4 linked regions of the Drosophila melanogaster genome follow. The protein of the gene in region 1 interacts with the protein of each later gene in a pairwise test. Each region holds a gene or a part of one and is shown on either strand. Other genes may lie near its edges. The genes, in order: CG17147, CG1648, CG9570 and nmd.

Region 1 (8,075 bases):
TGAAGTATTATTATCAAATGCTGTATCAGCTGATCCATGCGTCGCTTTTCATATTAGGTTGGCTCACAGATTGATTTTCCGACATTTAAAAGTGCAAAATATAAAAATTGTTTATACCGTTCTGGCGGTGTGGCAGCCGCACAACGCCACCAACATCTCTTTACCGGGTACACATGGTCACTCTGCGCGCGCATTCGTTTTTTGAGCATCATACAACGCATTATTGGAAACATTAATTAATTCAATTTAAGCATTAAAAGACATCGTGGAGCTAAGTTGTATAAGTTATTTGAGGAATTATTATTAGGTACAACTTAAAGTACAACAACACGCAAGGCGCAGTGCTGCGACTTAAATTCTCTGTGCGGGTGTATTTATCGATAACAGCCGAAACCGAATCGGTAAAATTTTAATTACGAATGTAACGGTCGTTGATGATTTCAAAAATGCAACAACAAAGCGGCAACTTCGTATGGAAAACGCAAAACTAATTGAGTTTTCTAAAAAAAAACTGCGGATTTATTTTTTACTTCCCATTGTCCTACGCATACATATAAAAAAGTTCTTATTTTCCTGAGCATAAGCTCTCGTTTTATTGCAAATTAACTCAACTACGTTTTGTAGATAAACAAATAGAAACAGTTAACAAGACGGTACTATTAATCTTGGTATTTTCATGTGGATGTTGTTCTACATTTTGGTAACTGATCAACAGAACGATAAAACTAATTGATTTCTAAATTTAGAAAGATTAGAAATGTGTTGTCTAATTTTAATGCGTACCATACGGGCAATTACCTGAATTTTAAATGTGTGCTATTAATGGATTGCTCATAAAGCACATAGTATATGTTTGTATTGTACCCAAAAAAACTGAAATTTCAAGCCAAATCGTAAATATAATTGTTTTGAAAACAAAATAAAAACAAAAAAAAATGCTATAGTCGAAGTCCCCGATATTTTTGAATATTAGTAGAAATTAAAAACCAAACCATAATTTAAAAATTGTTCGAAAGTGTGGTCGTGACAGTTTTGGGTGGTTTGTGGAATATTGATCCTGATCAAGAATATATACTCCATATGGTCGAAAACGCTTCCCTCTGCTTGTTACATACTTCTCAACGAATCTAGTATACCCTTTTAACCTGTGTACCTTTCTAGTGTCTTTGCTTTTAACGGATATATTGATCGCCAATAAAAATCAACTACCTCTTTTTCTTTGCACTTTTAGTTAAATTTATTTTTTGTTTAGTCCCGGCCATCGCAACACTTATCGTAGATGATCTTGGAGGAGCACGCTTCCACTGTCTCGTCGAAGAAGTGATCCCAGTGGCAGGTTTCCTCCGTCACCTCCTTGTTGTCCACACACCGGATGTAGTTGTGACAGTTATTGCTGCTGCTGGTCACCAGCATCGTGCCGCGTCCGTCGCATCTGTTGTGGGTGCACACCACTGTGGTGGGATTGGCGCAGAGCTGCCGATCCTCGTCGAAGAAGTAGCCCTCGGGGCACTGCGTCCACAGTGGATCCAGGTCGGCGACGGGATAGAGGGCCTTGCATACGAAGTATCCACGGCAGGTGGCTTGGTCGGATTTGAATGTCATTGTTGTGCTGCTGGTGCAGACGTTCTCCTTCGAATGGGCGGTGCACTCCACCTTATTGGCTTCCACGCAATTGCCGCTCTCCACATCGAAATACTCGCGCTTCTTGGAGGTGACAGTGCAGCTCTTGGACGCATGGTTACCGGTCTTGTCACACTCATAGTAGTAGGCGCAGTCCTTCTCATTCCGGAACTTCGTATTTTCCGCCACCAGCTCGCAAATGTTGTTCACATCCACGCACATGGAGTCCACGCCGTACAGGCAGGACTGAGAGCGCTCATCGAAGTGCTGGCCTACGGGACACATCCCCGCCAGCGGTACGCCGTTCATGCAGTAGAAGTACTTGTGGCACTCGGTCGGATCGGCCACCCATTCGCCATCCAATCCCTCGCAGCGATTGCCGCAGTACTTGTTGCTGTTGGCCAACGTGTCCACGCAACTACCCTTGCTGGGATTGAAGGACTGGTTGGAGGGGCAGGTCAGGACGGTGCCGTTGCCATCGTAGCACTGAATGTACTGGTCGCAGGTGCCGGGCTTGCGAACCTTGGTCCCGTTCTTGAAAAGGCGACACAGCTCCTCGTATTCACCGACACTCGCCGAAAGAGCTACGGTAGCCAACAAGAGAACGCATCCGAGAAGCACTCCAAGTTTGAGGTCTACGAATGATATACATATGATCGCGAGATATTAGATTGATACAGCACACCTTTTGAAAAACATATAGATATGCTTAAAAACCTTTAAAGATATACCTATAAAAATGAATATGAATGAACAAAATATCTAGATTCTACATTTTAATTGTATCTTTAAAAACGCATGCAAGCTGTTACTTTTCACTAAAAATAAAGGCTGAATCAGGGTGTATAAGTAAATATCTATGACGGTAAATTAATGGGTTCATAAAACTCACTTAGCATGGCTGATTGCTGGGAAACTTTGGTTTAATTTGCAACAGAATAGATCGAGTGGTTTGATGTGGCCTCGGGAACCAATTACGCGCGACTAAATGGAGTTTCGTGAATGGAAGAATCTTATATTAACTAGGAGTCATTATCGTTGCCACTGCTTCTGCTGATACCAGCGCTTTATTGCCTCTCTTATGAGCAAATCTTATCAATGTTGTGCGAAAGGAGGTAAAACCCTTCAAGTAGGTCGTAATTGGTGATTGAAATCGATTGAAATCGAGACAGCTGACTGCAGATTCCTTAACGACTCACTTTCATAGTAAATTTTGGCAACTTCAGTCGAAAAGGAAAGTGCCACTAGTTAATGAGGTATACCCACGGTAGTTACGAGTCAAATGAACCTTCTGTTGGCCGTTAATTAATTGAACTATAAATATATTTATCGCTGATGCGATTAAACGGTCAGCAGTTATTGTGCCGTAAATATGACAACCTTTTAAAATATACTGCCTTGCTATTTCACTGTCGCTTTCGATAGGTTTTTGTTTGGAAAATCAGAACTTTTGAAAACATTGATTGTAACCAACGAATAGGACAGTGATTATCATTTATGGTCTCCTCGGTGAGGCCATGCTATTCCATCGTTACCACCTGCAAGAAAAGTTTCCATGATTGAGTGAATTCTTAAAATTCTATTTGTTCATTTACCTAGTTTTCAGCTGAATTGTTCCAGGAATATTAAACAAAATACAGGTGTTCTTCACTCACCCATCAGATATTATTTATTCGAATTTCGAACTAGAACTTGTTTAAGATTATTGTTCTTTTTGGTAGCTAATCTTAAGCATTAGAGCAACGAAAACAATCTACGTTCTTATAAAAACGGGTAAAAAAACAATATATCTCAACTACGATCCTCGAGTTACAGCAAAGATACTGGCTTACAGCAGAAACTTGTCATTGTGCATAAACACGAACTCGCTAGAGAGCCGCGTATCTATATCTATGACAATCCAGGTTCCACAGTCCCCGAAAGAATCCAAACTAGTGCACTTCATTACAACACTTCCTTAACCAAATATCACATTGCATTCTGAGCTTTATTGGAAATACATGCCTACGTCTTGCACGCGGTGTAGGTCTGGACACTTGGAGTGCAGGCGCCCTGCTGGTCGTCGAAGAAGTAGTTGCCGCAGGACCTCTCGCTCACGGTTACCCCGTCGGAGCAGCTCAGATAGTTGCGACAGCCCTTGGTGGCACTAACGACAAAACTAGCAGTCCGACCGTCGCAACGATCGTGGGAGCAATAGACCGAACTGGGGGTTATGCACATCTGGCTGCTCGCATCGAAGAATCTGTCCTGGGGACACTGGTTCCACACCGGATTGGGGTCCGGGGTGCCATCCTTCTGCTTGGCGCAGTAGAAGTAGCCGCGACAGGTGGCTTCATCCGCGACGAACTTGTTCTCGTAGGGCTTACTGGCCTTGCCGCAGACATCCGTGGGCAACGGATGGGCATCGCAGTCCACCAGAGCCTTGGACACACACTCGCCCGTGCTGGCCTGATAATAGGTTTTCGAGCATGTCTTGTCCTTCAGGACGCCCTTCTCACAGACGTGATACATATTGCAGCCCTGCAGATTGTCGAAGTTTACGCCGTTCTTAACAATGCTGCAGTACTCGAAGGTGCTGGTGGTGCAATCCGATTCGTGTTGGCGGGAGCACATCTGGGTGGTGGCATTGAAGTGCGTCTCCTGCGGACAGGTGCCGTACAAGGCCGTCTCCTCGTCCGCACAGTAATAGTAGCCGTAGCAGGACTTGGGGTCGGCCACGAATTGCTTGGCCCGATCCGCGCAGGATATCGAGCAGCTGGACGTGGAAGTGGACAGTGACTTAACGCATTTGCCCGTGTCCTTGTCGAAAAACGGAGTAGATCCCGTGCATGTACTGTAGTAGCTGACGGAATCGATGCACGTGATCGATTGACTGCAGGATTCGGGATCTCGGATCACCGTATTATTGGAGAACAAGCGGCAGATGTCCTCATTCCGGCCATTAACCACATCTAGGCCTTGAAGCAGTAGCACCAGTGCCACGCCCAGTATGGCACCAAATTCTGCAATTTGAAAAAACAATAAAGTTAGATTTACACCACTGGCAGTTTGCAATCCACTCACTTTCCATTACAGCTCAACTTTGGACAAAGCATAAACTCGTACTGAATCTGAACGTCGACCTGCGATTACTTATAAATATCAGAGGATAAGCAGCAATCACTATTTGCTGGCAAGATAAGCGGATTGGTTTTTGAGGGGTATTCAACTGGGTAAGATGGGTTAAATAAAGATGAATAGAAGTCATTTGTTAAAAGCTCGAAGATTACAATCAAATGTATTGATTTTGCTTAGGGATTTGCTATATAATATTTTTGAAAAGGTAAATGATAGAGCACAAAAAATGGGAATGTTTGATAAAATTGTATTTATAAATTTAATGTTTTTAAGGAGCATTCATAAAATTTTACTTCAGAAAAAATTAATTATATTTTTCGTTGCTAAAGTACTGGGTGATTTCTAGTCGTAGTGAATGGTGATTTTATAAACAAGTTGGAGATTGCCAATTGGCTACCGGTAAATTAAATAGGAAGTAGATAAGTTATCATTTCGGCCAAAAAATAGTAATAAAATGAAGAGCAAGATCAGCTGGTTTAATTCATAAGGCTTAGTGGGTTAATAGAGAGCTTCCCTTCTTTATTATAAAAAAAAAAACATTTTTAGTACTCTACCAATTAAATATAAAAAGTAAATAAGCACGTAGCTTGAACTATTTTTTAAGAATTTAAATTACTTCGAAAATGCCTTGTGATTTGGAAAAAGTATCGAGTAAAGTGTTTAAATGTCATTGCATACTTATGGGCGAATTTCTAAACGGACAAAACTCGCTTTTAGGCGAAACAATAAAATAAGGCGGATAGATTTAAAATAGTTTAACGGAAAATAAAACTGACTAAAAAAATGGGGTTTTTGTTATTAAACATTAACATCAATTATTTTTATAGATTATATAGATAGATAATAAAATTTCAAAATACTTGCATATAATTGTACTATTTAATTATGCATACAAATAAATAAATATATATAACTCATAATTTCATAATTTCATAGTGCGATTTATTTATTTTGTATTTCAGTTCAAACGGTTCTTTTGGACAAGTTATTAATATAAACATTTGTAGTTCGGTAATTTTTCCCCAGAACCTGATAACCTTCAGAGGAAAGTCTAGTCAAGTCAAGTCAAGAGTCGCAGTGCGATTCAAATTGAGATATCTAACTAATGTCGTGTTGCTGAAATGAGTGCCGAGATACCAGGGAAACACCACTGAGTGATCAATAAGAGCCGTGACACTTTCCCGCCTCCTCGAGCTTCTTCGAAATTAAAAAACAATTATAGACAAAGAGGGTTCGCAATCAGCAGCTGATAATCCAAATTCCGGCGCGGCTGTCAACGTATAAAAATATATATAAACTATATATACATACTAAACTAAGTATGTATGGTGTCCGCTGGCCAAGAATCGATTTGAGCTTATAAGCCAGTCCATTTTGGCCGGGTCCGCTAGTTTCACTTTCGTCGTCCAACGCCTTCGAACCGCCTTCAAGCTAACCCAACAACTTCGGAGGGATGCAAGGTGCGTGGTTTACCCCAGACCTTAGAATCTTATCTAGCATTAATTTCGATACTAACGCCCTACTGGCGGCTGGCTTATCTGGCTGACAATTTTTTAATTACCCACCCAGTTCGCGCCGCGAATTGTCAACTATAAAAACGCAAAGGCTGCAATTGATTGAGTTAGTAACGAAATCGGAACGTTCGCTTCGGTCGTCTGTCTATCAAGTGAATTTGTCCCCGAAAAATATTAGCATTCCAAGATGGGAGGTACGTTGGCTCGAAGAACGGATACAGTTATCTCAGGTGCACAGTATTCAAGACGTCTTGCTTCGACTAAATTTTGAAAAGTGGTTTCAAACATGGTTTTAAGGCCCTGAAATTCTCCTGCAAAGGAGATGACTTTCAAAAATGGCTAAAATGACTTTCAAATTTCGATTTGTTACTCAAATTGAGTTTTTCTTTCGTCCTTAATTGATTTTTTATCCAAAAAAAGGGCTGCCGTGTTGGCTACAACAAAGGCTTAACCAATTTTAGAGACGCTAACACGAATTTTGGATTGAAAGCTATCAATTTTGTCGTTTCTAGCATAATTTCTTTGCATTATTAAGTACAAACAAAATAGAAAACTATTCGACGATTACACATGTCTATATTTTATTTAATAATTCATAGTTCGTATCCCCCTGTATCCCCCATTTAGCAATCAATATGAGGATCTGTGTCGTGGCCGCATGTCTCCTAATGGCATCGCAGGCCACCGGCTACACGATGGATGATCTGTGCCAACAGTGGTCGGGCTATGGATACATCGGCAATCCGAGCAACTGCCATGCCTGGGGATACTGCAAGAACCAGGAGGTTGTGGCCTGGGGCACCTGTCCCAACGGCTTGGTGTTCAACGCGCAGGCCGGCAGCTGTGATTACGCTAATACCACGGTGTGCTCCACCAGTGCCGTTGAGACATGCTCCAACGTCAAATCTCCCATGTATGTGGCCAATCCGTTGAACTGCACCGAATACGCCTACTGCGATGGCACAGGCCAAATCTCCTATGGCGATTGCGGCACCGGCGGCGTCTATTCGGCATCCTCCACAAAATGTATATGGGGACCCGCCTGCCCGCAGGACACCATCTGTCGGTTCATGTTGTCCAACATCTTTGTAGGCGATCCGAACCAGTGCGGCAACTACATCAACTGCGTCAACGGCTATGGCACTTCCGAAAAATGTTCCAGCACCGCCAATCCCTACTATAATAAAGCCACTGGCAACTGCCAGTCGACGAATCCGTGCACCGGCGAAGATTCAAACAGTGGAAACTCTGACCAGTTCACTGTTGGGCAAACAAATGCAACTGCTTGTGACGAAGAAGCTTTTAAAGCAGCAGATCCACTTACTGTAAATGGGGAATCTGTTGACTATAGGTACGTTTCTGATGGTGTCACCTGCTATGGGTACTACTACTGTGCAGCAGTAAACGCCACTGGCTATTGGAACCAATGTCCCACCGGTACCCAATTCAATGCTGGCAAGTGCGTTTCGCCAGCCTCCTTTGTCTGTACCCATAACCGATGTGGGAACGTTAACAATCCATTCATGGCAGATGAGGGTTGCAAGAACTACACAATCTGCTCCAGCGGAATAACCGGATCATGTCCCACCAATGCGCCGTACTACGACGAGGTGAACAATATCTGCACCACCAAAATTCCCGATTACGCCATTTGTAATTCGACGGCTAGTACATGAGCATCTCCTCCAGCCACGTCTGTTTGCCGAGATACCTTTTATGAAATATATAAATAAATACCAATGCTGAAGGCATTCAAAAGAAACTAATAAAAATGTTGACTTCGACCAAGCGAAATTTGTTTTAAATGTTGTTGTTTTTGAAATT
Region 2 (8,227 bases), on another chromosome or scaffold:
CGGGTGCTTCTGCTCCTGGCGCGGGAGTGGGTGCGGGCGTGGCTCCGTCGGCGGCAGGAGTGGCGGCACCTTCGGCAGCTGGAGCTGCTCCGGCGGGTGCGGCTCCTTCTGCTGCTGGAGAAACAGCTTCAGCTCCGGCGGCAGGGGTGGCAGTTGCGCCCGGCTCACCAGTTCCGCCAACGGTATTTGTTTCTTCCGCTCCCGGTGTCACCGAGACGCCATTCTGACCAGGTTGATCGTCATCGGGCACGTCGAGCGCCCCGACTGCATCCTCCGAGTCCGGCTCCGGGTGCTCCACTGAGCCACTGGCAATGGGGTCCTGGCGGTCGTGGTCGCCATCGCCATCGCCATCGTCCTCTCCTTCGGCACTTCCGCCAATGTCGTGGTGGAAGTGATGCAAGTGCTCGTGACTGTGGTGCTTCGGCTTCTTGCCACTATCCGTGCCCTGGCAGTAGCGTTCCGAGCAGATGAAGTATTGCCGCTCGTGGCAGTTGTCTGCCGACACCATGTTGATCTCGGAGCGGATCCTCACCTCCAGGCAGTCGTCGCACTCGGAGTGCTCCAGTGGCAGGACGTTGCTATAGTTGCTGTAGTAGCGCACCAACCGACCGTTGCTGATGTACTGGAAGCGACCCTCGTGGTACAGATCGTTGCCCCCGAACCAGAAATCCTCCGTGTTGCCCAGGCCACTCAGGAACCCAATGGCTCCGTCGAAGTCCCTTTGGTTACTCAAGTCCGCCAGGGTCAGTCCTTTGCGTAGGCAGTTGTTCAGGGCGCCAAACCAGTTCATCTGAATGGGTTTCATATTATTTCATAAGCCCATGCGACAGATCAACTCTTACCTTTTTCACCGAAAAGTAGTAGCACTTGCCGTTGATCCTGCGCAAATAGCGACGCGGGCAGGGGGGTCCTGATCCCAGGAGCTCGCCCCGCGGCAGGATGCTCAGCAGGGCCACGAGTGCAGTCAGGAGATGCTTCATTTCGCTCGCTTCCGCCGGTGCACAGTGAGCCGGCTCAAATCGCCTCCTGTACTTATATCCTCCGCTGGCCAGCAGTGCGCCCAATCGATTTGGAGCTCGCTGGAGCTGGAGCGGCATCTTCGGCAGCATGGCCAATTCAATTACAAGTCCATGCCGCCGGAATGCCTACGCCAATGTCGTGGGCTAATTTGCTCACCCGCCAGTGGGTCAGGTTTAGGGTCATTCAGTTTAATTGGCTATTAGATACACTCGAAGAAAACGAGCCGGAAAAGTCGCATGGGGTGCTGTAATTGCCAGTAATGTTAACCCTCTAAATTCCTTGATGGCAATTCATCCGCCTAATAATGGGCATATTGCGAGTAACTATTATATCATATATAGATGTTATAAAATTGTAATACAAGTTTAATGCAAATAAATTAAAAGATTATATATATGGTTTTGAAATAAGCAATAATTCTTAGCAGTATTCTAACTCATTCGAAGGTAGCAGAGCTTTCTTCTTCTGGAGTATGATGATGATAGATGGATATAAAATGCTTCAGTTCCTTTGACCCTGATCTGTCCTCCCATTTAGTTTGTATCTGCCGAAGTGAGTTAATTGCTGGCTATGAACTCGCTGGTAATCTTCAACAGCTCAAAAACGCTAAGAATATTAAGTTCTGTGATTCGAGCAACTGGAGTGACTTCATAGTCATTAGCATAACCCGCCCGAAGGGCTAGATGTCTGACCCGGCCTTGTTCTTTCCGATTATTGATTTACCTGGCAGGGTCGTGACATCAGCCATTGGATTGTCCGTGGCCAGGACACGAATCGCCCGCCTTTCCTTCTGTTGCCAGCTGACTCAGACGACCTTCGGTCGGATGACGATTGCGCCGGGTGGCCACAACAATTCGTGGGGCGTGTGAGTACCACGCCACCCCTTTCTGCCACGCGCGCTACTCTCACATATATAATTCTTTCGTATATTGTATCTCGATTGTGCAGTTGTATCTCACATGACATCATCAGCAATGGCAACAACAACGGCGGCCCCAGTAGCTCCATCGATTCATCACGGATTGTAGCTCTTTTTTTTAAGGCATCCAGAACTGGTGTGGAACGTGAGTCGGCAGACCTCAAATCGCAGTAACTCATAGATATTCGTTCCATGCCCGTATGTGTGTCCGTTCCGAGCTGGGTTCCCATGTAGCCCAAGCTACAGCTACAGCTACAGGTTTTCCTCTATCCGAGGCTTCTGCGCATTATTTCAGCTGCGAGTGCGACATCGACGAAAACAAAATCAGAGAGCAAAATCAAAATCCAAAACTAAAACCAAACCAAAACCAAAACAAAAACGACGCCAGAGGCTGTGAGAGAATCTGGGCTTATTGTGTTACCTTTTGGCCATGCTTCTAGCCGGTTTTCAGTGTTGACCACAAGTTGCCACAGTTTTGAATAAAGACTGAAGAACAAAATGCGTCGTATTACGCAAATGCCTTAAATAGGGCCGCTGGCCTTAGGAATTCCGCGTGTGTAAGCCATTAAGATATATATGTACATATATCCAAAGGATTTGGCGGGGAATATTAAACACTGCGGTTGCCTTATACGTAAGGCCACCTTTTTTAAGTTTAATAACTTATCATTCTACGAATGTATTTTAAGTATCTTTAAATACGATTTTAATTTGGAAAACAGCACAATATACTTAGCATGCATCTCTATACATATAGTTACATATTGTACAGTGTAGATTGCACGATTCCTTCCACTTAAATTGCTATTCTAGATTCTAGATTGTTAAGCAAGTCCAATGCCACATACATACATTCCTTAGCCATTAGCCATTAGCATTTGAAATGTCTGAATTCCCTTTGATTCACCCTGTTTTTTTTGAGCAGTAAAAGTAATTTTCAACACCTCGGCCGAGCCCACACATTCCATAATCTCGATACCCAGCAAGCGTAGAATAGAAACTATTATTTTCGCACAATTTTCGGCTCCTGCGGTGGCGATTGGCTCATTAAATGCGAAATGCGAAATGCGAAATTGGCCGAAACTAAATTATTTGGAAATGAGCCGAGTGTATGGGGCCATTAAAGTATCTCTGCGGAGAGAACCGAATCAGAATAAACACATTCCCGATCACAATCAGAAAGCGTGAATAGACCGCACTAGAAACTTGGGGGCGATTTCATTCGCCGGCTGCCCATTATGACATCACATACGCCGAATAATTTGAATACTCGAGCTTTGTTTGCCTCATTCGCATACAAGCATACTGTATATTACAAAGAAATTCCTCGGCTATTTCCGCCCGTTTCCGTTTCGCCCAACCGATTCGCACCCGGTTCCGAGTTGAGCGGCACAATGTTTCTATTTGAGTGGACGCACACGTCACTCCCAGTGAATGCAGATTCGAGGGGACAGCAAAAGCTGGCGCTCGTTAATTTCTATTAAATTGCGAATATAAGTCTCAAGTCTCGAATTTTAAGGCTGACGCCATGGGGCTGGCGATCACGATTTCAACAGCCCCTAGTTGCGCAGTTTCTATTAATAGGAAAGTGTCCCAGTCTAATCGATCCGATTTAGTCATGTAAATAGTTCATGCTCCAGCTGCTTTGTTTATGTTTCGGCAATTACCTGTCTGGAATTTGGAATCTGAAATCTCAAATCTCGCATCTTCGATCTGATCGGCGCTCCACCCTGCTGATTGCAATCAGGCTATAAATTATAATTAGCGCCAGGCCAGAGCTTAGTTAGCATTCAGAGGGCCAGTCAGCATGTTTCCTAGTCGCCAAAACCAAAGTAATCCCATCCAGCCAGCACAGTCAGGATCTAAAATGCACTCCTCATTCAATCCCCAGCTTCCTTGAAGAACTTCGGTGACAAGACCGCCAACCTCTTCAGCAAGAAGAAGGATGAGGCCGAGAAGCTGGCCAACGAGAAGGCTGCCGAGGCCCAGAAGCTAGCCGAGGAGCAGGCCAAGAAGGTGGGCCAGTCCGTACAGCAGACCAAGGGCGAGGCCGAGCAGTTGGCCGCCAGCACGGGTGAGTAACGAACATCCAAAAAATAATGAATGTAACACATAAAAGATGTCTTAGAGAATTAATTGGAGTTATTAATTCTAAAGACTTCCAAAAACTCTTGCAACGAAGAATTGAATGAGTCCCGTTTGAGATAACTTTCAAAATCAACTTTCAGTTCTTGCTAAAAATGTTTTCTCATTAGCATTCCATTTCCAATTTATCTAAAACGCAAATCTTTTAAGCATATCAAACACAAGAGAACTTAATAAATGGAATTCTTTAGTGACGCGTTGACGTAAAACATGTTTCCAAGAATAAGATTCGCATTTTTGAAAACATTTCTTCATAAATATTGAAATATTTCTATAATTGTGAAAAGCAATTTAATGTGCTAGAGATTTATAACTAAACAGAACATCAATGCTATGTTTTATGCTGGAGCAAAGCCCGACCAATTCAATAAATATCTTTAGGAGCACTTTTAAAGATATTTTGTAAGAATTTTTCCCACTAATATCTCTCTTTATCATACAGCCAAGGAAGCCGCTGCTCTGGCCACCGCGGAGGCTCAGAAGGCTGGACAGGCGATTGACCAGGGTGTGAACCGTGCCGCCGGAGCCGTCAACCAAGGCAAGCAGGCGGTGGACAACACGGTGGCCCAGGCGGCGGCCGTGGCCCAGAACTCCAAGCAGGTGGCGGCCAATGTGGCGGAGGCCTCCCAGCGAGCGGCCGCCAATGCGGTGGACCAGACCAAGAAGGCGGCCAACGACGCCATCAACAAGAGCGTGAAGGCCGCCGAGAACGTGGCGGACCAGAAGCTGAAGCAGGCGGAGGGCGCCATCGATGGGGCACTGAAGCAGACCAGTCAAACGGTGGACCAGAAGCTGCAGGAGGCCAACCAGTATGTCGACCAGAAGCGCCAGTCCGTCGAGAAGACCGTCCAGGATGCGGCCGGACAGGCCCAGGAGTCTGCCGGACAGCAGGCCAACGCCCTGTTGGGCAAGCTGCATCTGGGTCAGAAGTAGAGGCGTCTCCCTTCGCGGTGCCACCTAAAATATCTTGATGTGAAAATGCTTTAGATACAAAAACAAAAAAAATAGAAAGGAATTTGCTTCAATGTAACGAGTGCCAGTAATGTGATTGCTAAATCCTCAATTGAATATACACAATATATATATATATATATATTTACATATTTTTTGAATATCGCGCGGACGGATTATTTTGCAGCCGCTGCTTTCGATGTGAGCATTTCAGCACATCCTCTGTCCGTATCCGTACAAAGTGTAATTAACCCCTTCGTTCTTCTTCTTCGGCCGAATTTTGTTACTTTGAGGCATTTGATATTTTATATACAGCTGCGCTGAGTATGCTTTTAATATACGTATATTCTGTTTATGTAGAGATGTATGATTAAGTACCTTTAACTCTTGCACAACACATTGCAAATGTGTTTTTAATATATTGGATTCGAATGAGATTTGTGGTCTTTCAATTGGTGGGGGTGCCACTAAGCAAAGCGTATTATATGTATATATTTGGATATACTGATGTTATGTTGATTATATTATTACTGAAACTTTTATTAACTCATTTTCAATTTAGCGCCAAATGGTGATGTATGGTAATACTGTAATCTGGCCACACTGAATTTACTTCGGCTGCAAGCGCAAATAGCGCCACCTACATGTGGGATAGAACGCTGAATGGTTTGAAAACAGGGTATCCATGTTTTATCTCGCTTTTACCGTTTCATTCAAAAAAATTAAATTACTTTTTAATGAAGTTTTCAAACTACAAGTTTACTTGATGTATTTATTTGGGCTTACTATTTAATTACTGACTTATCTTGGCCATTGGTTGTTCAGAAAATAATATTATTTCTGGACATATTTTGAGCATATAATTACAGCTATATACAATTTCTTTAATAAAACCAATAAATCAGTTATAAATTCTACACATTCCACTGTTCACCCAAAAGTGGTAACATTTTATTTTGCTTCTAAGACAAAAGAAGTTTTTTCCGGCTTACCCTTTCCCCTTCCTCCAGAGCTGCCTGTCTCATTACAGAACCTTTTCACAGATCCAAGGTGAGCAGCAGGGGAAACTTTCGCAGAAAAGCGGACCATGGAGATGGACGGATCTATACAAATAGACCGAAACATGCAGAAATCTGCTAATAGAAGAGGTCATATTGTGTACTCCGATATGTCGGGCAACTTTTCGTCGAACAGAAGCCGAAAGTTGTGTTAGGTTTTAATTATGGGAAAAGTTTGTTGTGGCTAACAAGTGACCCCGGTGCATTGCAACGTCAATTGAACGCACAACTTCAAAGGACCAAAGGACGAAAGGACCAAAGGACGAAAGGACGCTAGGAATGTGTGCAAAGTATTGGCAGCAAAGTGCTGACATAAATTCAGGTAAGAGCGATTTTTAATTTCAGATAAGTGCGCCTGCTGACTGGAAAGGCGAATGATAAATGCATTCCATTTGCGATTCAAGTACTAGTGGGTGCGAGGCGCCAAATTCAAATTTATGCCGGCCACGCAAAAGTCGCGCCAATTAGGTTAGCCCAAGCGAGTTGATTTAAAGTTAAGCGATACGAGCGGCGCGATTAATTACAATAACTGTTTATCAACACATATTAATCATGGTTTAACATGCTCCCAGCTCGTGTTGACCCAAGCAAAATGGCGTGCAGCGGAGTTCCGGTCATGTTGGGTATGCCCACTCCATACCCTCCATGGGCTTCCTTTAATTTTCAAAGTTTAGAGGGCGACATAAAGTGAATATATTTGGTGAGCGTAATATCGTTTTTAATATATTATGACCTTATTTGTTGGTATTGCCATGCGTTTTTGAAACACTCACGTCTCTCCCAGCAGCTTGATGCCCTTTTGATTGACCCTTTGGTAATTCATGAGTGCTCAAACAGATGCTTATCCGCTTTTTAAGCCGTGACCAATTCCACTTATGAGCATATTTTACACGCAGCCAGCGGCGTTAATTTTATCTGAAAAGTTAAATGTGCGCGTGTGTGGGCAATTAGGCGAGGAGTATTATCGGCCCTGAAACTAAAACTGCGCGAGAGGAGAAGTTCCCAGCGACAGCCACTGATTGTTGCTGCCGGGGAAGTCCCTATCCCTCCATTTGCGCACTTACACTTACATATGTATGTATGCACACACGCACCCACACTCGCACTTACACTGTGACAAACTGCGCACACCAACATTCTCGCATTTATCGCCGTGGAGCCATTAGATCCACGGGGAACTCAATGGACGTTGACGGGCGTCTTGCCAGCTGCATGCTAAATAAACCCCCTCGAACAACAACTAAATCAGCTCAAGAGCCTTATTCCAGGGATTCGACTAGGGGATACTTAGTCATATTCTGTTCTTATCATCTTAGTATTCTATTTATTCAGTGATTATTAATCTGGCTTATATCCCATCTCTAGTTAAACCATATACTAGATCTTACATTATTATATTTTAATTGATTAATGGAGTGTTAACTGTGACTGTGGCTGTTTTTTGACAGTTGTAAGGGCTTGCGAACTTTTATTAATACCCCTCTAATGCACTTTCCTCGTACTTCTCCAGAGTGCAGAGCATACCCAAATGACGTGTTAAAAAAGCGCAACAACGGCGAGCGACAGTTACAGCCCGAATGCGTTGTAATTGTCAGCTGAAAGGACATGCGAGGAGGAGAAGGAGGTCGATGGGGTGGTTGGGTGGAGCCATCCTGGCCGGAACAATTGCCTCGATGCGGTGCTCAATTTGAGCCAGTGGCGCGTGTCGCAGAAGACGCCAATAAAGTCGTACGTCAGTCCGAAGGAGAGTGTCCGGAAAAAAGGAAAATGCTGCAAGTTGCAACAGACGTGCCATGAAATCCAAGGTGCAACGTCAAGGGTAACTGGGAGTCGAACTGAGTGGAATAATTGGCCTATGGAATCGGAAGGCATTCGAAGGGTTGAGCAAATTTGGGCATTTGATTTGTTTGAGAGGATTATTAATTACAGACCAGGCGCAGGCAGGAAGATGGCCACAAATCTGTTCGGTTGTGAGGATGAAGCCCGACTGCTGCATGAGTTGATACACTGCTGCCGAATGCCTGATGTATGGCCATTGGGACAACTTTGATTGGCCTGCCGGTGATTTATGCCGGAGCTCATTAATTATGCTTGTTAGCCCGATGTTGATTTAGTCACCTAGTCATGAGCCTGC
Region 3 (7,799 bases), on another chromosome or scaffold:
ATAATCAATTAGAATTGCGAAAAACACTCCTCTGCTCGGGCACGAAATTTAAATAACAATTCTGCATAAGCCCCACTCGTATTATTCATTATTCTTGCTCATTTTGAAACATTCAGACGATTACCAAATTGGAAAATGTTACAAATTCTTGCGGATTAACGGCAGCAATAAAGAGCGAAGCCGCTTGTTTGTGTATGTAAGTGCGGGTGTGTGGCTGTGCGGCTGTGTGGGTGGTGGTGCTGCTTGGGTGTGTGTGTGTGTGCGCGGCAGACAATCGCAATCAAATCCGCAATTCTAGCCACCCAAACCACTGGCCTCGCTTTTTCAGCACACACACACACACACAGACACACTTGTTGAAAATCATAAAAATTTGATGTACTTAAAATTTTCATAAAGCTGCCAAACAATGCCCAACATGAAGAGCAACAAAAACAAAGTCGGTTGCAAAAAAATGTTTAAAACTTGCCAACTTGTTTGGACTTGGTTGGGTATAGCGCAACGAAATAAAAACCGACAAAACAAAAAAAAAAAAAACACTGACAAACGAGCAATCAAATTTGTTTAAATGCAATTCTGCGGACTTTTTTTGGATCACGCTTTCCGGTTGCTATTCCTTTTTTTTTTTTGTTTTCTGTTTTTTGTTTCGAGAGCAGTGCAATGCGGAGCAAAGTATACAAACTTCACGGCGCAAATTTCAAACGAGGCTTACAGTAAACAATTGAGCGTTAAATCGGCGAGAAATCGAAGCGAGCGAAGCCAAAGAATAAACAAAGTGCAAAATAAGGAAGTGGAGTCAAGTGGCCTTTTGCACAACAAATATAAGTAACAATGGGTATGGCTTTGCTTTTAACATGAAAGGAATAAAGTCGAAGTCGAGTAGGAACTATAACTAAAGGTCATACTAAGCAGTCAACAGCAGTTAACTAGAGTCTATCTTGAATTGCCTAATTGAATAGATACATTCTGGGACATGAACATAGGGTTCTTATAGGTTTTACTAATTTATCAATATATATGACTATAACATATATTCAAGCTATGATGCTTATCTATACCTTCAGTTCCCCCCATTAAACAATAAAGTGCCAAATTCTTGGCGCACTGAATGGTGGAATCTTGTGATAATTATTCGACCATATTCTGGCAGCTCGATATCGGTTGTGAATGGGGGCATTAACATGAACATAACGACTAACTGTTGCCAGCGGAATTTCCGTCCAAATCGCGACGAGGTGTTCCTAATGGGATTATGTTCGTCGGTTTGGAAGAGCAGCCGGTTCTTTGTCGCCAGCAGTCACGATATATATATGTATGTATATATATTTACCTTATGTACATCTATATATGTACATATATAGTATGCTAGGAAACTGGGCCTCTTTGAAGGAAGTGGCACAACTATCGTGCATCCATCGCATTAATTTCAAGGAGGGATCGCGATTTTCTGGGATGGTGCGTGCGTGCCGATAGCGAACTAAGTGCAAGTGGCGTTCGCTAATTGTTGGCCATGTTTTTCTGCTGACAATTCGCTTTCGGCCAAATAATTCATGCAAAACTCCCGAAATTGTCACGCAACCCAGTTCACAATGCGGCGATGATGATGAGACGCTGTTAATTAATTAATTATCCCCCGCCGCTCGACGGGGCAGCGGTTTTGTGATTTATGATAAGAACACTTTGCCCCATTCCGCTGCCCCCCCCCCCCCCCCTCTCCACTGCCACCAGTTTCCTGTGCGCATTTTGCGATTTGGTGAAAATGATTTCCTCCTGGCTTCCAACACGCGAAAGTGACATTTTTATTGTTGGCGTTTTGCATGTCGAGGGGATGCCTGGATGTCCTTAGAGAACTGGTTGGGTGTCTCGGGTGGGTGTGGCTTGGGCGCTGGCTGTACCATCATTAGGCCAACTCATTTTTGTCCTGCGCAGCGTGGGACGCGTGCATCATGTTGCAAACAGCCAGATGGGCCAGATGGGCCACTCTTCGCTGGCGAAAAAGCAGCGAGAAAGGACGCAGGACCTTAAGGTGGCCCATGTTGACGATGCTAATTAGCCTCCGCTCCGCCATTGTCCTCGGCATCAGCTGGCTATGCCACGAGTGGGCCGAAGGACACTCCCGTCCTTCGTCCTCCAAAGTGGCATACAGACAAACAAACCAACAGGCAGTCGCCAAAGGCAAAAGTTTTCGTGGACAAATGATCTGCGGAGTGCTTTTACCTCCTATGATAATAGTCAACCCCAGTTTCAAAGGGACTTGGAGGATTTCACCCGAAAATGATTTAATTTTCGGCACTGCAAATTGGCATTTGCCTGCTTAAAGTATATAGAATTTAATGTGTAATTAGCAAGGCCTAGGGCAAACTGTTCTATTTTCTTTCTGAAGGGAATTATCTTTAAGCTGATAAACGCAAGACTCAATTGGATCGCTTTGTACGTGTTTAATTGTCATCTTTTGAGATATGACTTCGATTTACTACGCCCTCGCATGATTCCCGCAAGGATTCCCGATGTGACAATCTCCATTCGCATCTTTGGGCACTCAATAACCGGCCAGTCAGCAGTTGTTCCCCCCAGATTCCTGCCTGTCAGTTGTCCCATTTTCGATTCCATCAGATTTTGTGTATTCGGAGCAGCCAACGGTGGTATTATCATCAATTCCAGTGTCTGGCAAAGGTTCCACCGCACCTGCACCCCGCCCACAGTCCGCCCACTGTCCGCCCACAGCATCCCTTGGATTTCTTTCATCCGAGAGTTGGTCGTCCTTAAAATATTTTCGGAGCAATGTTTCCATAAATACACAACACAGGATCACAGAATGGGAAAAGTGGCTATAGCACTGGGAGCGGGAGTGGAAGTGGAAGTGGGAGGCCGTCAAGGGAACGAGGGACTCAAAAACAGGCACGCACCAAAATTCGGCACGCTTTGGGTGTATGAGTGCTCGGTATCTTTGTATGAGTGTGCCTGTGTTGGTGGCCATAAGCAACATAAGCAACAGCGAAGGAAGAATAAACAAAAGCTCTGCTCGGCCATTGTTTGCTTAGGAATACACACACACACACACACACACAGCGAACACACACACACTCTGCGGCACGCACACAGCAAAAAAAAAAAAAAAACCATAATTCCGTGAACCACAGTGCGTATACGCAATACGGGCAGCAGCGTTAAAATCGCGTTGCCAGAAATTGTATGAATGATAAAAGCCAAAAATTGGCCTTCGAGTGAAACGAAATGAAATTAGACAACATTTCTGATGACTTTCTGCTCTGTTTGGGTCTAAAATTGCCCGGGATTGTATTTTTGGCATTTTGGCATTCGTATTGGTTTTGGGAAGTTGAGAGCAAGCCTAGCACGGGGAGCAAGGCAAAACCAGGACGAATGGGCCAGTCGAGCCGACAATTTGTCAATTGACGCGCATCCAGGCGCTGGCAGCTCCTTCCGCCCGACTGCCTCTCAATGCCAGGACACCAAGTCAATTTTCATAGACATTTTACTGCAGTCCATCATTTCGCCCCGTTCCCCATTCCCAGTATCCTTTGGCACGGTCTTTTAGAGCCTTTCGAGTCCATCTGGCTGGAATAAATACATTTGCTTCGTCTGGTCTGGTCCCGGCATGATCGTTCGTCTAATTGAGGCCGCTTTGCGAAGTCTTTTTGTCTGCAGCCCAAGTTGCAGGAGGCGACGACAAGGGGTTAGCAATCAGTGGTGGTGGCCAGCAGCTTTAGATGATTCTCCGGCAGCTGCACTTCATCAGGATTTTGTGACTCCTCTGGCTCTGGAGCAGGCTGCTCAATCTTCTCCAGATCGTGATCCTGCTTCTGTTTCTCCTCCCGCTGGCACAGGACCGCCTTCATCCGGATGTCCTTGACATCCTTCGACACCCTCTCTGCTTTAGTTGTCTCCGTGGCCTCGAAGGCGTTTATCCAGAGCATGGCTGCCAGCGTGGTCATCAGACCACCCATGATGGCCCACTCCCAGCGCTGGTAGACTTCGGTGGAGACGCCCAGATAGCGGCGCAGCACGAACTGGGTGGACAGGTGGAGGATGTGCTCCACGCTGCACCAGAGCCACAGGGCCAGGACCTCCATGAAGGCCACGCCCAACACCAGTTCGATCAGGAAGGTGGTCAGCCAGCCCATCCGGCTACGATAGCGCGTGGGCAGGATCTCCAGGTCGTGCAGGAAGTATAGGATGGCGCAGTAGGCAATGTGGCCGGCGTAGATGGTGCCGGGAATTACCGGGAAACGCTCTATGTCCAGCAGACAACTGCCACGCATTCGGAAGTGCAGAACGCTGGCAATCAGGAGTACCAATGTGCAGGTCATCGTGGCGATTGGTTATGCTGGGTGTATTGGGCACTTTTAATTTTTCAACTTTCCTCGATTTATTTTACGATTTTGTAAAATTAAAAATTTTGTAACAGGCCGAAAGAGGGATGTGTGTGTGTGTGCTAGCTTCAACGAATCGTTGTGATTTGCTTATGTAAGGTTGGTTGCCCGGGCTTTGAAGTTTCGAGCACTTTGGCGCGGAGTACGTGATCGAAGGAAAAACATTTCGTAACGAGGCAAAAACTGGTAACGAATGCGCCTGCCTAAGCATGCGACGGGATAACGGAAGAATTCGTTACTACTTCACTTTTACAACGCTCTTTATTTTCTTTACAAATCTTGCTATCATCTCACATTTCGCACTACATTTCCATTAGTATATACCTGTATATACCTGTTTCGACTCAATTCAAAATGACCACGGTTGGAAAAGTTGATAAGCTACCGGCTATTAATCGCAATATTCATGGCGAATCTTAATCTTTATGTCAATGCTGGCATAATTATTTTTCTCGTTTTTCAATTGCCTCGGCGAGGATTTACCATGCTATGTGAAAATGCGGAAAAGAGGATACTCCCACCTGCAGACGGGGCTAATTCCGGGCTTAGCCATATTTCCAATTAATTGTAATTCGCTCTGGCGCAGACAATTTCCATGCATTTAGCAGTGCGCCAGGTCATTAGGTGACCCCCAGTTCTTCGCTGGTAGACCGCCACGCTCCGCCCCCCTAATCCCTTGTCACGCCCATTTATGTTCATAAATTATGCAGTCAACCTCTGATGCTCATTGACCCAGAGGAAAGGCCACCCCCAGTAGCCCCACCTTTCGCAGTGGGGCAGCTGTCGAAATGTTATTTCTTTCCTTATTTCTGCCTCATTTTTTTTGTGCTGGCAAAAGCGGGCGGGGAAAACCGTTTGATCCCTTCCGGCTTAGCTGGGACTAAAAGTAGAGAACGACGAAAATAAAATTAAAAAAAGCAGACTGACAGCGGGTGGGTTAATCGGAAGTAGGACTGAGGGGTTGGTGCTCATTGGACAACTCAGCGCCAGAGACAACTTTAAATTTATTACCAGCCAGTCCCAAAATTATGTATTTCCCATTAATGTGTCTTCTTTTTCGGACATAAACGCTAGATACTCCTTCGATCTTGGCTCTTGGTTTCGTGCCATCGTTTTGGGTAGAGCAATATTTTGCATTGGGAGTTGGCTTTGATTAAAAAGATGGATACCATCCCCAGTCGATTGGGATTTTTTGTTTTCCGTTTTTGGGCAGCTTGACTTGCTGCCAGCCAGTCCATTGAAAGTTTGGTTTTCTGGTTTCTGGTTTGATTCCCGCAGTCCCGCCAACGAAGCACGTACAATGGACTCGGGGAAATGGGAAAACTGGGAAAAACTGGGTAAATGGGGAATTGGGAAAATGGTGATATGGTGAAATGGGGACATGGGGACATGGGGACATGGGGCATGGGAAAGTGCCATCCCCTAAGAACGCACACTATTTGCTTATGCAGATTTCGACCAACATTTCGCATTTGTTTTCAAACGGCAAACAGCAGCAGAAAGTGAAATGTGAAATGTTGCAACAAAAGGGGTCACCAGATTTTTCTGATATCATATGATATATGAGATATGGGCCCTTTTGTCTCTGCCACTTCCACTTGCCACTTGCCACTCGCCGCTTTGGCATACATATATTTATGTTAAATTCATGATATTTAAATTAGTTAGCCAACAGTTTGTCCTTGGTCCCTCGTCGGGCACCCTGACCTTTGCCCCTTGGGGTTTGCCGGCCGCACAAAAGGCCACCCGGCTGCAGTGGCCAAACATTCAATTATGAGGCCTCCAGCCTTCAAGTTTCTGTGTGTCTGACTTTGACTTTGGCTCTGGATTTCCAGCTTCAGCTTTTGGCCTAAGCTCATCTGCCATTAGCATTTCAAATGCCACGCATGGGATAGTAGTGTGGGGATATGGTTGTTGGGGGGACATCAAACTTTTGCCATTTGCCTGCGAGCGGCAAACGACAAAAAGCAACGCAAGCTGGCTAAAGTTTGCCATCATATATCTTGTCAGTGTGCGATGCATACGTTATCGGCGGCGCCCTTCTTTCGTTCTAGCAGAACCCCTCACCCCTACCACTACCACTACCACCCGCACCACCCACCTTTCATTTGCCGCACTGGTCAAGTAAATGAGTTTTCCTGCGGCTTTTCCACATTTGTTTTTGCGTGCCTTGCCATTTGACAGATCAAAGACCGACTAATACACGAGCAAACAACAAACAAACTCGCACAGATCGGATGCCGCACCGGAAATGGATATTTAATTAAAGTTCTCGGCTTTGTCACATCGCCTCTTCTTTGCCTGCCATTCGAGTTTCCCCGATAGAAAATTGAAATCGCCTAATGTTAAAACGATGGCCACACAAAGGTGAGCAAACAATTCCTTGGACTCGTATCACATGTCGCTCGAAATCAATGGATCTACGACCACAATATACTTTCTAAGGAATTATATAAAACATAAAAATCTACCATTGTGCTCTCAGTTTAAAAATAAACATTCTTTTGGCCTGCTGTGCTAACTAAGCGATCTAAATATGTATGTATGTATTAAACTGGGAAATTCGATGCCATTGAAAAGCGAAGCGCTATTATATCGTTCTATTACTTATAGGAATACTTGTGTTACTACTAAGTAAGCAACGCACATTTTCTGTCAGTGTAGCCAAATGGAGTTTAGGGGGCTAGGCGACGGAAGTGGCGCACGGAGAAGCAAGTTGTTCCAGAGACAAACTTTATGACTTTTATCTGAGCTCAAGTTTTGAGTCAACCTAAGAAGTCGAAGCGTCGAAGCTCCAGCCCCCTTCAAAAAATAAATTTCCTTTGCCAGCCATTAAAAGTGGGGCCACCCACCAATTCTCATCAGCTGAGTTCTCAAACTGCCTCACGGCCAAATGCATAAATATTTTCACTGTCAGTGCGCCACGCCTACTTTTTACCGCCCCCGTGTCCGCATCCTGTTTCTCACACCGCAAAAAAAAAAAAGAACTGTTGTCGTCGCATTGTAATAAATGAAATTTCATGGCTTGAGTTTTCGTTTATTGCAACTATTTTGGCTTAAGTAAATAAGCTGCTTACATTTTTTCCATATGCACATTCATGTTGTGCCCTTTCACGGGCACTACTTTTGTTCGAGTGTAGCAGCCGCTTAAAAAACTTAAACACGGGCATTTTCATATACATTTATTTCGGAGGCTGTCCACGTTGGCGGTCCATGGAGGAATATAGTATATATAGGATGTATAGGATGTAGGCGTGGTACTGAATTTGCATATTCACAGAAAAGCAGGGCGACGCAACGCAAAAGTGTCATAAAAATTCTACATTTCAATGAAACGAAGTCGAAAAACAACAACAATAGGGCGGCTATGGTATGGGGAAAAGTCTGGACAGCCAAATATAAGGGCAA
Region 4 (8,741 bases), on another chromosome or scaffold:
TTACTGAGCTGAAATCTTGTGGTCAATATCATCCTACAATTAAATCATACTGTGGAGGCGCCTGACGGATGGACGACCGGGAGATTATTGTCAACCTCTCATTGTCTGCGCATCGCCAGAAATTTCCGGATGAAATGATGGCGAAGTACCGTTAATAAAACTTAATATTTTATAAAACATTAGACAATTTCATTATGTCACTATCACAATCGTTCAAATCAAATAATAAAGATTAGTGTTTAAATAAATTAACATCTACGATATGTGTAAAATCTGTGTTTCCATTGCTGGGCTAATCAATCAATCTCAATCTTATGCAGAACCAAAAGAGAAGGAAAATATTCACCATATATGCAAATAAATGGTAGTTTATTATACATCTTATATACATAAATCGTTTCGTAATCTAGAAACTACTGAGAGCAATTCAATTTGGATACAGTATATCGTAGTGGCCTGGTCGATATATCAGGTAAATTCGGGGCTCGCTTCCCTCGGGGAAATCGTGGGCCTTCACAGTCCCACCTTCGCCACGGTCCAAGTACTCGACACGAACTCCAGCGCCGAGGGCGGTGCATAGAGCGATTATGTGGATGTGATCCGATTCCTTGTACATCGGCTCCACTTCCAGATGGCGGAACGCCTCAATGGTGAGGTCGCCTTCGATGAAATTTTGGTAAAAATCGGCCTCCTCCTGCAGTTTTCCCGAGGTGATCAAACGTAGGTAAACCACCACGTAGTCTGAGTAACCCTGCTCATTGAAGATCTTGTGCAACTCATCTTGGACCGTGCTGTGTCCTCCTGCATTGTCGGGGCTAACGCGCTGGATGACTTCCATGAACTGGACATACAAAAGGCTGCATAAGCATAGGGAATTCGTTTTGCATTTGTACGGCTAAACATACCGTTTCGTGAAAGTCCTCCAATGTAAAACTAGGAAATCCCAGCTGAACGAGCTTCTCCTTGGACTCCTCGGCCAGTTTTTTGAACTCCTGGTAGGCACTGGTGTTTGAGATCAAGTACTCCAAGTAGGAGTAGGCGAAGGCTCGGAAGAAACAATTGCCATCGGGGCGGGTGCGGCGAATGAACTTGTACTTTTTGGACAGATCCTGGATCTTGGCGGTGAAGATCTCGTCGCCACTGTATTCCGCATACAAGCAGGTGAGTGGCAACTGCTCGCTGACCAAGGGAGTTGTGTCGCTGATCTGCAATTATTGAAATTCGGCATTATTTCTCGGTTCATTGTCGCTATTGTGTGTAAGTGTTTCTGCAGACTCACCTCTTTTTCAATATCCCGTTTCTGCTGAATTATTAGTTCGTCGCGATTGCCATCATTATGGGTAAACGGCTCCATGTTTCTCTGAATACTGAACAACTGCGATCGGCGCTTCCTTTCAATTTACTTTACTTTGTATTCATTTGATGAACTAAAAAGAATTCCTGTTCATCATATGTATGTGTAGGCGCATCAAATGTCACACACACAGGTCTAGAGGCGAAACTCACGGACACACTGATGCTTTCGATTTTGTCGCACAGCTATCGTTATCGGGCTTCAATTCCAGTTGTTCCTTGGCTCGAGAATAAAAATAAATAAATATTTGAAATCGCATTTTACAAACACGCTAAACCATTAAAACGGTTTTTAATAACAAATATACGTACATAATTTGTGTATGTTTATTATCTATAAATTTATAAAATAAAATAAAACTTTGAACTGGTTTTCCGCTGTGTAATACGTAAGCTGGGAACTTCAATTGGAACCAGCTTTCAAAGCTTCTCGTCAGAAGATCATCGGCTGAGACTTAAGATTGAATAAGAAATCAATTCAGTTGAGTGTTTTCTTCATTGCTCAGCGAACGTTGCGCTACTTTGATAAATTAAGTAAGTCTTACTAATAGAGTACACTTTATACTAAATAAAATTGGACTCAAATTCAATTTATTGAAAATGTGTAGTTCAGTTATGTGGATATCTGATAGAGTTTAATCTTTTTGGTGGTTTCTATGTCTTGTAACATCTACAATACATTTTTCATCCATATATGTATGTACATGTGTATATACATATTTTAATCAATCAAAAAGATCTTAAAGTTCAATGAATAAAGTGTACAAAATATCACCGCCTCACGTACTTTTATGAGCACAAATCAGCGGCAATGGGAATACATTTATATATGTTAATGAAGAAGAATTGTATAATGCTAAGTTTACTCGAAACTAAAACCAGTTTTTGCCCTATTTTATTTGCAAGGAACATATTGTTAGCAAAAATGGTGAACCTTTGTGTGTAAATGGCAATTAATTAGTGTGTTATAACTTATTATTAACTCTTGCGAAAAATGGAGGGATTGCGCTTACACATAAGAAACTATTTTTGTGTTTTAAAGTAATTATACATGCTTTGTTTTTATTGACAGCGAAAATTGACCCACCGCAATACATTAGCATTTCTTATCGCCAAAAGTCATATTTAAACAAAAAAGCAATCAGGATTGATAATGAGGCGATCTAAAAGAAACAATACGTACATATGTATATATTTGCTCGGAATTTTAGTATTCAAAAAAGAAAGCAAAGCCTCACTGATAAGACAATACATTCTAGAGTTAATTAGGTTAATTGTTCGCCGCATAAACATAAACGTATTCGTATCCGCGTCTCCCTTCCATTAAAATGTGTCACTCTGTTTTGGGGGAATCACATTCACCTTTTATCCGGTTTAAGTGCGATATTCCAGCAATAACAATCATTATTATATTACCAATACTCGAGCTTTACTCACTTTGCTTACCTTCATCTTCATCTCTTTCCTCGAATAAGTGAGCTTTCTGACCTTAATTATGTAAATATGTAAAGAGCATGATTTAATTTTGCTTTCCAGGAATATGATATTACTAAATTGCCTAGTAATATGCCTGTGCATATTTTCCTGTGGTGCCCAGGACTCTTCCTTGGACAAATTGATATCGGACATCTTTAAAACGGACGAAACACCCAAACCATCATCCCCTCCCCCGCCAGTGGTGAACCCCAAGGATTCGTCCGGTAGCACGGGATCCGAAAACGGAGGATCGAGTTCAACGCAGTACCAGTCCTGTGGCGATCAAAAGGAGTGTGTTCCTCGCTGGTTGTGCGCCAATGATACGATTAACACCAGTGGCGATGGTATCATTGACATTCGACTTGGTACGGACGCCGAATGCAAGAACTATTTGGATCTTTGCTGTGATCTGCCCAACAAGGTAACACATACATAAATACCAATAAGCTTTGATTACTTAAATTAAACTATAATTTTATTTGTTAAGAGAAAAGATCCGATTTTCGAGTTTAAGCCTGATCATCCCGAGGGCTGCGGTTACCAAAATCCCAACGGCGTTGGCTTTAAGATCACTGGAGCTGTCAACCAGGAGGCCGAATTCGGCGAATTCCCCTGGATGCTGGCCATTCTCCGGGAAGAAGGCAACCTTAACCTGTACGAATGTGGAGGAGCATTGATAGCTCCCAATGTGGTTCTGACCGCGGCGCATTGCGTTCACAACAAACAGCCCAGTAGCATTGTTGGTAAGTGTACATGCCATCTATGCCATCTATGAGATCTAATTATGAACTGGCATTTAGTGAGAGCTGGCGAATGGGATACGCAAACGCAGACTGAGATCAGAAGGCACGAAGACCGATATGTCAAGGAAATAATCTACCATGAGCAGTTCAACAAGGGATCGCTCTATAACGATGTGGCTGTCATGCTGTTGGAAAGTCCATTCACCCTCCAGGAGAACATTCAGACCGTTTGCCTGCCCAATGTGGGTGATAAATTCGATTTCGATCGCTGCTATGCCACCGGCTGGGGCAAGAACAAGTTCGGCAAGGATGGGGAATATCAGGTTATCCTGAAGAAGGTCGACATGCCCGTGGTGCCCGAGCAGCAGTGCGAGACGAATCTGCGCGAAACTCGACTCGGCAGGCATTTCATTCTGCACGACAGCTTCATTTGCGCCGGCGGTGAGAAGGACAAGGACACCTGCAAGGGTGATGGTGGCTCCCCACTGGTGTGTCCAATTGCTGGCCAGAAGAACCGCTTCAAGTCCGCCGGCATTGTTGCCTGGGGCATCGGATGCGGCGAGGTGAACATTCCCGGAGTGTACGCCAGCGTGGCCAAGCTTCGTCCGTGGATCGACGCCAAGTTGAAGATTTGGAGTATTGACCCCAGGCACTATACACCCTAAGAGCAAAATTGTCACTTGAATTTGTGGGTTTTAATCTTCATGCTTCACAATGCTCTCACTTAATATATGCCCAATATGTTAATACTCAAAATTAAAAAAAAAAAAAATCTTTTTATTTTAAGCTGAAAAAATATTTTCGGAACAGTGGAAAAGGAATAGGCTAACAAAAATTGAATTCAGTTGGCAGCAATTTTGAGCTTATCGATGTCAATTTCAGTCGGAGCACCTGGTCACACTGTCGTCGGTGTGCATGGGGAATAAGAACAAGAAAGATTAGATTCGTGCAGGCCAACGTATTTGCTCTAAATAGAATATCTGCAGAAACATGGACAACTTCGGACTGGGCGGATCGGATCTAAGCAAGGGGCAGATATTCCAGGTACTGGTTCGCCTGTCTGTGGCCTCGCTGATCACATATTATTCGGTGAAATGGATGATGAACCAGATGGATCCGACCAGTAAAAACAAGAAAAAGGCCAAAGTTCTGGCTGAGGAGCAGCTTAAGAGGTTTATATTAGACTCATATAGCATATATTGTACATGTGTAAACCTTTTCCATGCAGGCTAGCCGAGCAGGAGGGCTTCAAGCTAAGAGGGCAAGAGTTTAGCGACTACGAGCTTATGATTGCGTCACATCTTGTTGTTCCCGCCGACATAACAGTCAGTTGGGCCGATATCGCCGGTCTGGATTCAGTCATTCAGGAGCTCCGGGAATCGGTGGTGCTGCCAATCCAGCACAAGGATCTCTTCAAGCATTCGAAGCTGTGGCAGGCGCCCAAAGGCGTCCTGCTCCATGGACCACCGGGCTGTGGAAAGACGCTGATAGCGAAGGCGACGGCAAAAGAGGCGGGAATGCGCTTTATCAACTTGGACGTCGCCATTCTTACCGACAAGTGGTACGGGGAATCCCAGAAATTGACTTCTGCTGTCTTCTCGCTTGCATCGCGAATCGAGCCATGCATTATTTTTATTGACGAAATAGACTCATTTTTGCGATCTCGAAACATGAACGACCACGAGGCTACCGCCATGATGAAGACCCAGTTTATGATGCTGTGGGATGGCCTCAGCACGAACGCCAACTCGACGGTGATTGTGATGGGTGCCACGAACAGGCCGCAGGATTTAGACAAGGCCATTGTGCGCCGCATGCCAGCCCAATTCCACATTGGTCTGCCCTCGGAGACCCAACGAAAAGACATCCTGAAGCTGATCCTCCAATCGGAGGAAGTAAGTCAGGATGTCGACTTGAATCGCTTGTCCAAGCTCACAAATGGCTTCTCGGGCTCAGACCTGCGGGAAATGTGCCGGAATGCTTCAGTTTACCGAATGAGGCAGCTCATCACGTCCAGAGATCCGTCAGCTACAGCGCTTGATCGCAACAACGTCCGCATCACCATGGACGATTTGCTGGGCTCGCACTTAAAAATTAAGGAATCAAAGATGCACACGAGCAGCCTATTCTTAGAGAATAGAATCGAATTAGATTAAGCTGACCATTGTTTATTCAAGCTCCCGATATATCCAACTTAAATTTGTATAATAAACTTTTTATTTGCCTTTCGAGAGGAGCTCCAATGTTATGTGTTAATTAACCCTGTTCTCTGCATTCCAAAATGGGTATCCGGAAAACGTAGTTTTGGTAGTCTTGAAAACAGCAACGGATACTGCAGGAAATTACACAATCCATAGCATTTCCGTAAAGCGGAGCTCAATGCACTTTAATTATTACATTTACGGGCTTCTGTGAAATATTCACCTAGAGAAATTTCAAACATTTATAAAGATATTGCACTTGTACACTTCTTCAAACACACACACAACTTGCGTCACGCGACCGTGGGCTTTCAATCGTAAAAAAAAATATAAGTAAACTTGTGCAGTTTTATTCTCTTTTAAAAAGGTCGTTTATTTCTGACGGCATTTCAAAGCTACACATTTGTATATCTAATTAAAAATGAATAAAAACATGCATACATTTTAAATAATCAAACCAAAACAAATTAGTTCTTGATGTTTTTGTATAATTTCTTAATTTAAGAAAAATATAGAGTGTACAAACTTCAAGCGAAGAAATTTGCTTCTGCACATTTTAATTATGTTTCGTGCTCATATAAATACTTTCTTCGATTGGCTCAAATCATTTCTGTTGAAGGCGTTGATTAAACCACTTCAAATCCAAGCGAGACTATATACTTAACAAAAAATGAACCCAATGGTAAGCTATATTTCCAATTTGTCTTTTTGATAGGAGATATTTTGTATGTACATACTTCATTTACGCGCATCCTTTCTATTTCAGTTAACTTTGATTCCTGGATACCTATTCATAACCTTAATAATTATTGGAAGTACTGCACACAGTAATTCCTATGCTGTGAATAAAACCAATAGTGTCGAAAGTGCCGAGTGGAGCTATCCTGAATACGGAAAAGGATCTACTCACAATACCGGAAGAAGATCGGAAAAGCTGGATCTGCAACATTATAATCGGGAAACCGAACGCAATGTGACTTTGAAACGCGGTGTGAAAAACTATCAAAAGCAAGGCGATAAAATGACGAGGAATAAACTGAAATATAAGCCATCTGGTGCTCGAAGAAAAAATGTGAGTCCCAATTATGCGGATGAGAGTACGGAAAGTAGGCATTATCATACATTCGAAGAGATCCACGAGCATATCGATGAGGACGATGGTCAATACCAGGCATCCGAACAGGTCGGAACACAAGCGATTCTGCACGAACATGTCGAGCACTCGAGTAAGAAGGATGCGAAGCGGATGAAGGTGAAAATCAAGCATCATCATCACCACCATCATCACAACCACATAAAGGAGCTGATCAAAACAGTACCACAACCGTATCCCGTGGAAAAGGTCGTCCATGTGCCCATTGAGAAAATTGTCGAGAAGATCGTACATGTGCCCAAGCTGGTGAATGTTACAGTTGAGAAAATAGTGCACGTGCCTATCGAAAAGATAGTGGAAAAGGTGATTCACATCCCAAAGCCAGTCCAAGTGCCCAAACCATATGTGGTCGAAAAGATAATTGAGAAAATAGTCCACGTACCGAAACCGTATCCAGTGCTCCGGACTGTTCCGTATCCGGTCGAAATAAAGGTGCCAGTTCATCTCGAGAAGAAGGTACCAGTGCCCTATAAGGTTGAGGTAGAACGAAAGGTTCCCGTTTACATTCGTTCCAGCGAGCCATATAAGTTCGAGTCATCATCACTCTACGAAAGTTATCCACGCGGCGAGGAGTTCAAATTTAACATGGAAATGGATCATCCACCGCCCAGAGAACACGAACCATCCAGCCTACCATCCTCAAACTACTACAACAGGATATACAAATCTAGGGAATTGGATCATCCTCCGAGGATGGAGGACTATCAAAGCTCCGTGCCCACACAGTTAAAGCACGATTACGCAACGAAAACTAATCTCGATCAGCAGTTTAAAAACGAGTACGTGACGAAAAGTAGTATTGATCCTCAATTTAAGCACGATTACGTGACGAAAAGTAGTATTGATCCTCAATTTAAGCACGATTACGTGACGAAAAGTAGTATTGATCCTCAATTTAAGCACGATTACGTAACAAAAAGTAGTTTTGATTCGCAGTATAACCAGGAATACGTACCCAAAACTAGCATTGAATCGACTTCTCCTGGACGGGATGGGGTTTCCCTGAAACTCGTCGGTCCCCCTACTCCTTTCAATATCACGGGAAAGGATTTGGAGACCGCCAACTCTGCTCCAGACTTTGTCAATAGCTCCAACGTAGACCTAAGTCCACAGGAATCGGCTAATGCCTATCGCGGTATGCCATTCTCCATACCATTTCAGTTTGTACAACTCCAACCAATGGCCTTTCAAAGTCCTATACATGTGGAACTGCCAATCCAATCCGCTTCAGCAGAAGGTGCTCAAAAGTGATAATCTAATCAAATGTTTAGCGTAAATAATCCTATTCAGAGAATTATTATATACCTGACAGACTTTTAAAAGACTTTTTCCCCACAATAAAAAAAATGCTAAAAAATAAGTTGCTTAATATAAAATATAATGCATATTAGAATATATAAAATTGTTTATTTTGTTGTTGTTAAAAGTTTATGATAAAATTCATAAGCAATAAAACATACTAAGCCTAACAAGCAACGACAAACAAATCGCAATATACTGTTACATATTCTATATAATAAAACCGTTTTTAAACCGTTATTACTTTGTTTTTTTGACTGTATTGTATTTTTTTGGTTCAAGATTACCCCCAACAATTGTCGATTGCGGTAAAATCGATAACGATATCCAGAATTCATTCCAATCGCATTCTAAAAGACACAAATTTTATAAATACTAAACAAAAATCCAGGATATAAACACCTTTTTATTTGTTAGTTCAATTTATGTGTGTTTGTATTAAAACTCAAACAGGGTTGCGCTAAAAACTTAATTGGTCATTTGGTATTTCAGCGAACAGCAATATTATTAAACCAA

Evidence for each region.
Region 2: the proteins of CG17147 (region 1) and CG1648 interact in a two-hybrid assay, tested with the Drosophila melanogaster proteins (one large-scale study listed by BioGRID).
Region 3: the proteins of CG17147 (region 1) and CG9570 interact in a two-hybrid assay, tested with the Drosophila melanogaster proteins (one large-scale study listed by BioGRID).
Region 4: the proteins of CG17147 (region 1) and nmd interact in a two-hybrid assay, tested with the Drosophila melanogaster proteins (one large-scale study listed by BioGRID).

What each region holds. Positions count from the first base shown.
Region 1 is NT_037436.4:20,218,467-20,226,541, reverse strand, and holds CG17147 (uncharacterized protein), read right to left. Parts: upstream 2,611-8,075; 5' UTR 2,520-2,610; coding exon 2,513-2,519; intron 2,256-2,512; coding exon 1,249-2,255; 3' UTR 1,218-1,248; downstream 1-1,217. Other genes in the region: CG17145 (uncharacterized protein), read right to left, coding at 3,625-4,622, 4,684-4,690; CG6933 (uncharacterized protein), read left to right, coding at 6,439-6,481, 6,879-7,927.
Region 2 is NT_033778.4:9,808,268-9,816,494, reverse strand, and holds CG1648 (uncharacterized protein), read left to right. Parts: upstream 1-3,720; 5' UTR 3,721-3,746; coding exon 3,747-3,771; intron 3,772-3,830; coding exon 3,831-4,013; intron 4,014-4,526; coding exon 4,527-5,017; 3' UTR 5,018-5,176; downstream 5,177-8,227. Other genes in the region: lectin-46Cb, read right to left, coding at 1-790, 843-980.
Region 3 is NC_004354.4:20,047,985-20,055,783, reverse strand, and holds CG9570 (uncharacterized protein), read right to left. Parts: upstream 4,491-7,799; 5' UTR 4,329-4,490; coding exon 3,696-4,328; 3' UTR 3,265-3,695; downstream 1-3,264.
Region 4 is NT_033779.5:10,299,658-10,308,398, reverse strand, and holds nmd (no mitochondrial derivative), read left to right. Parts: upstream 1-4,451; 5' UTR 4,452-4,562; coding exon 4,563-4,744; intron 4,745-4,800; coding exon 4,801-5,728; 3' UTR 5,729-6,226; downstream 6,227-8,741. Other genes in the region: Cdk5alpha (Cdk5 activator-like protein), read left to right, coding at 1-65; CG4968 (uncharacterized protein), read right to left, coding at 428-841, 906-1,205, 1,280-1,354; CG5390 (uncharacterized protein), read left to right, coding at 2,894-3,250, 3,317-3,572, 3,630-4,237; CG13138 (uncharacterized protein), read left to right, coding at 6,444-6,455, 6,540-8,177.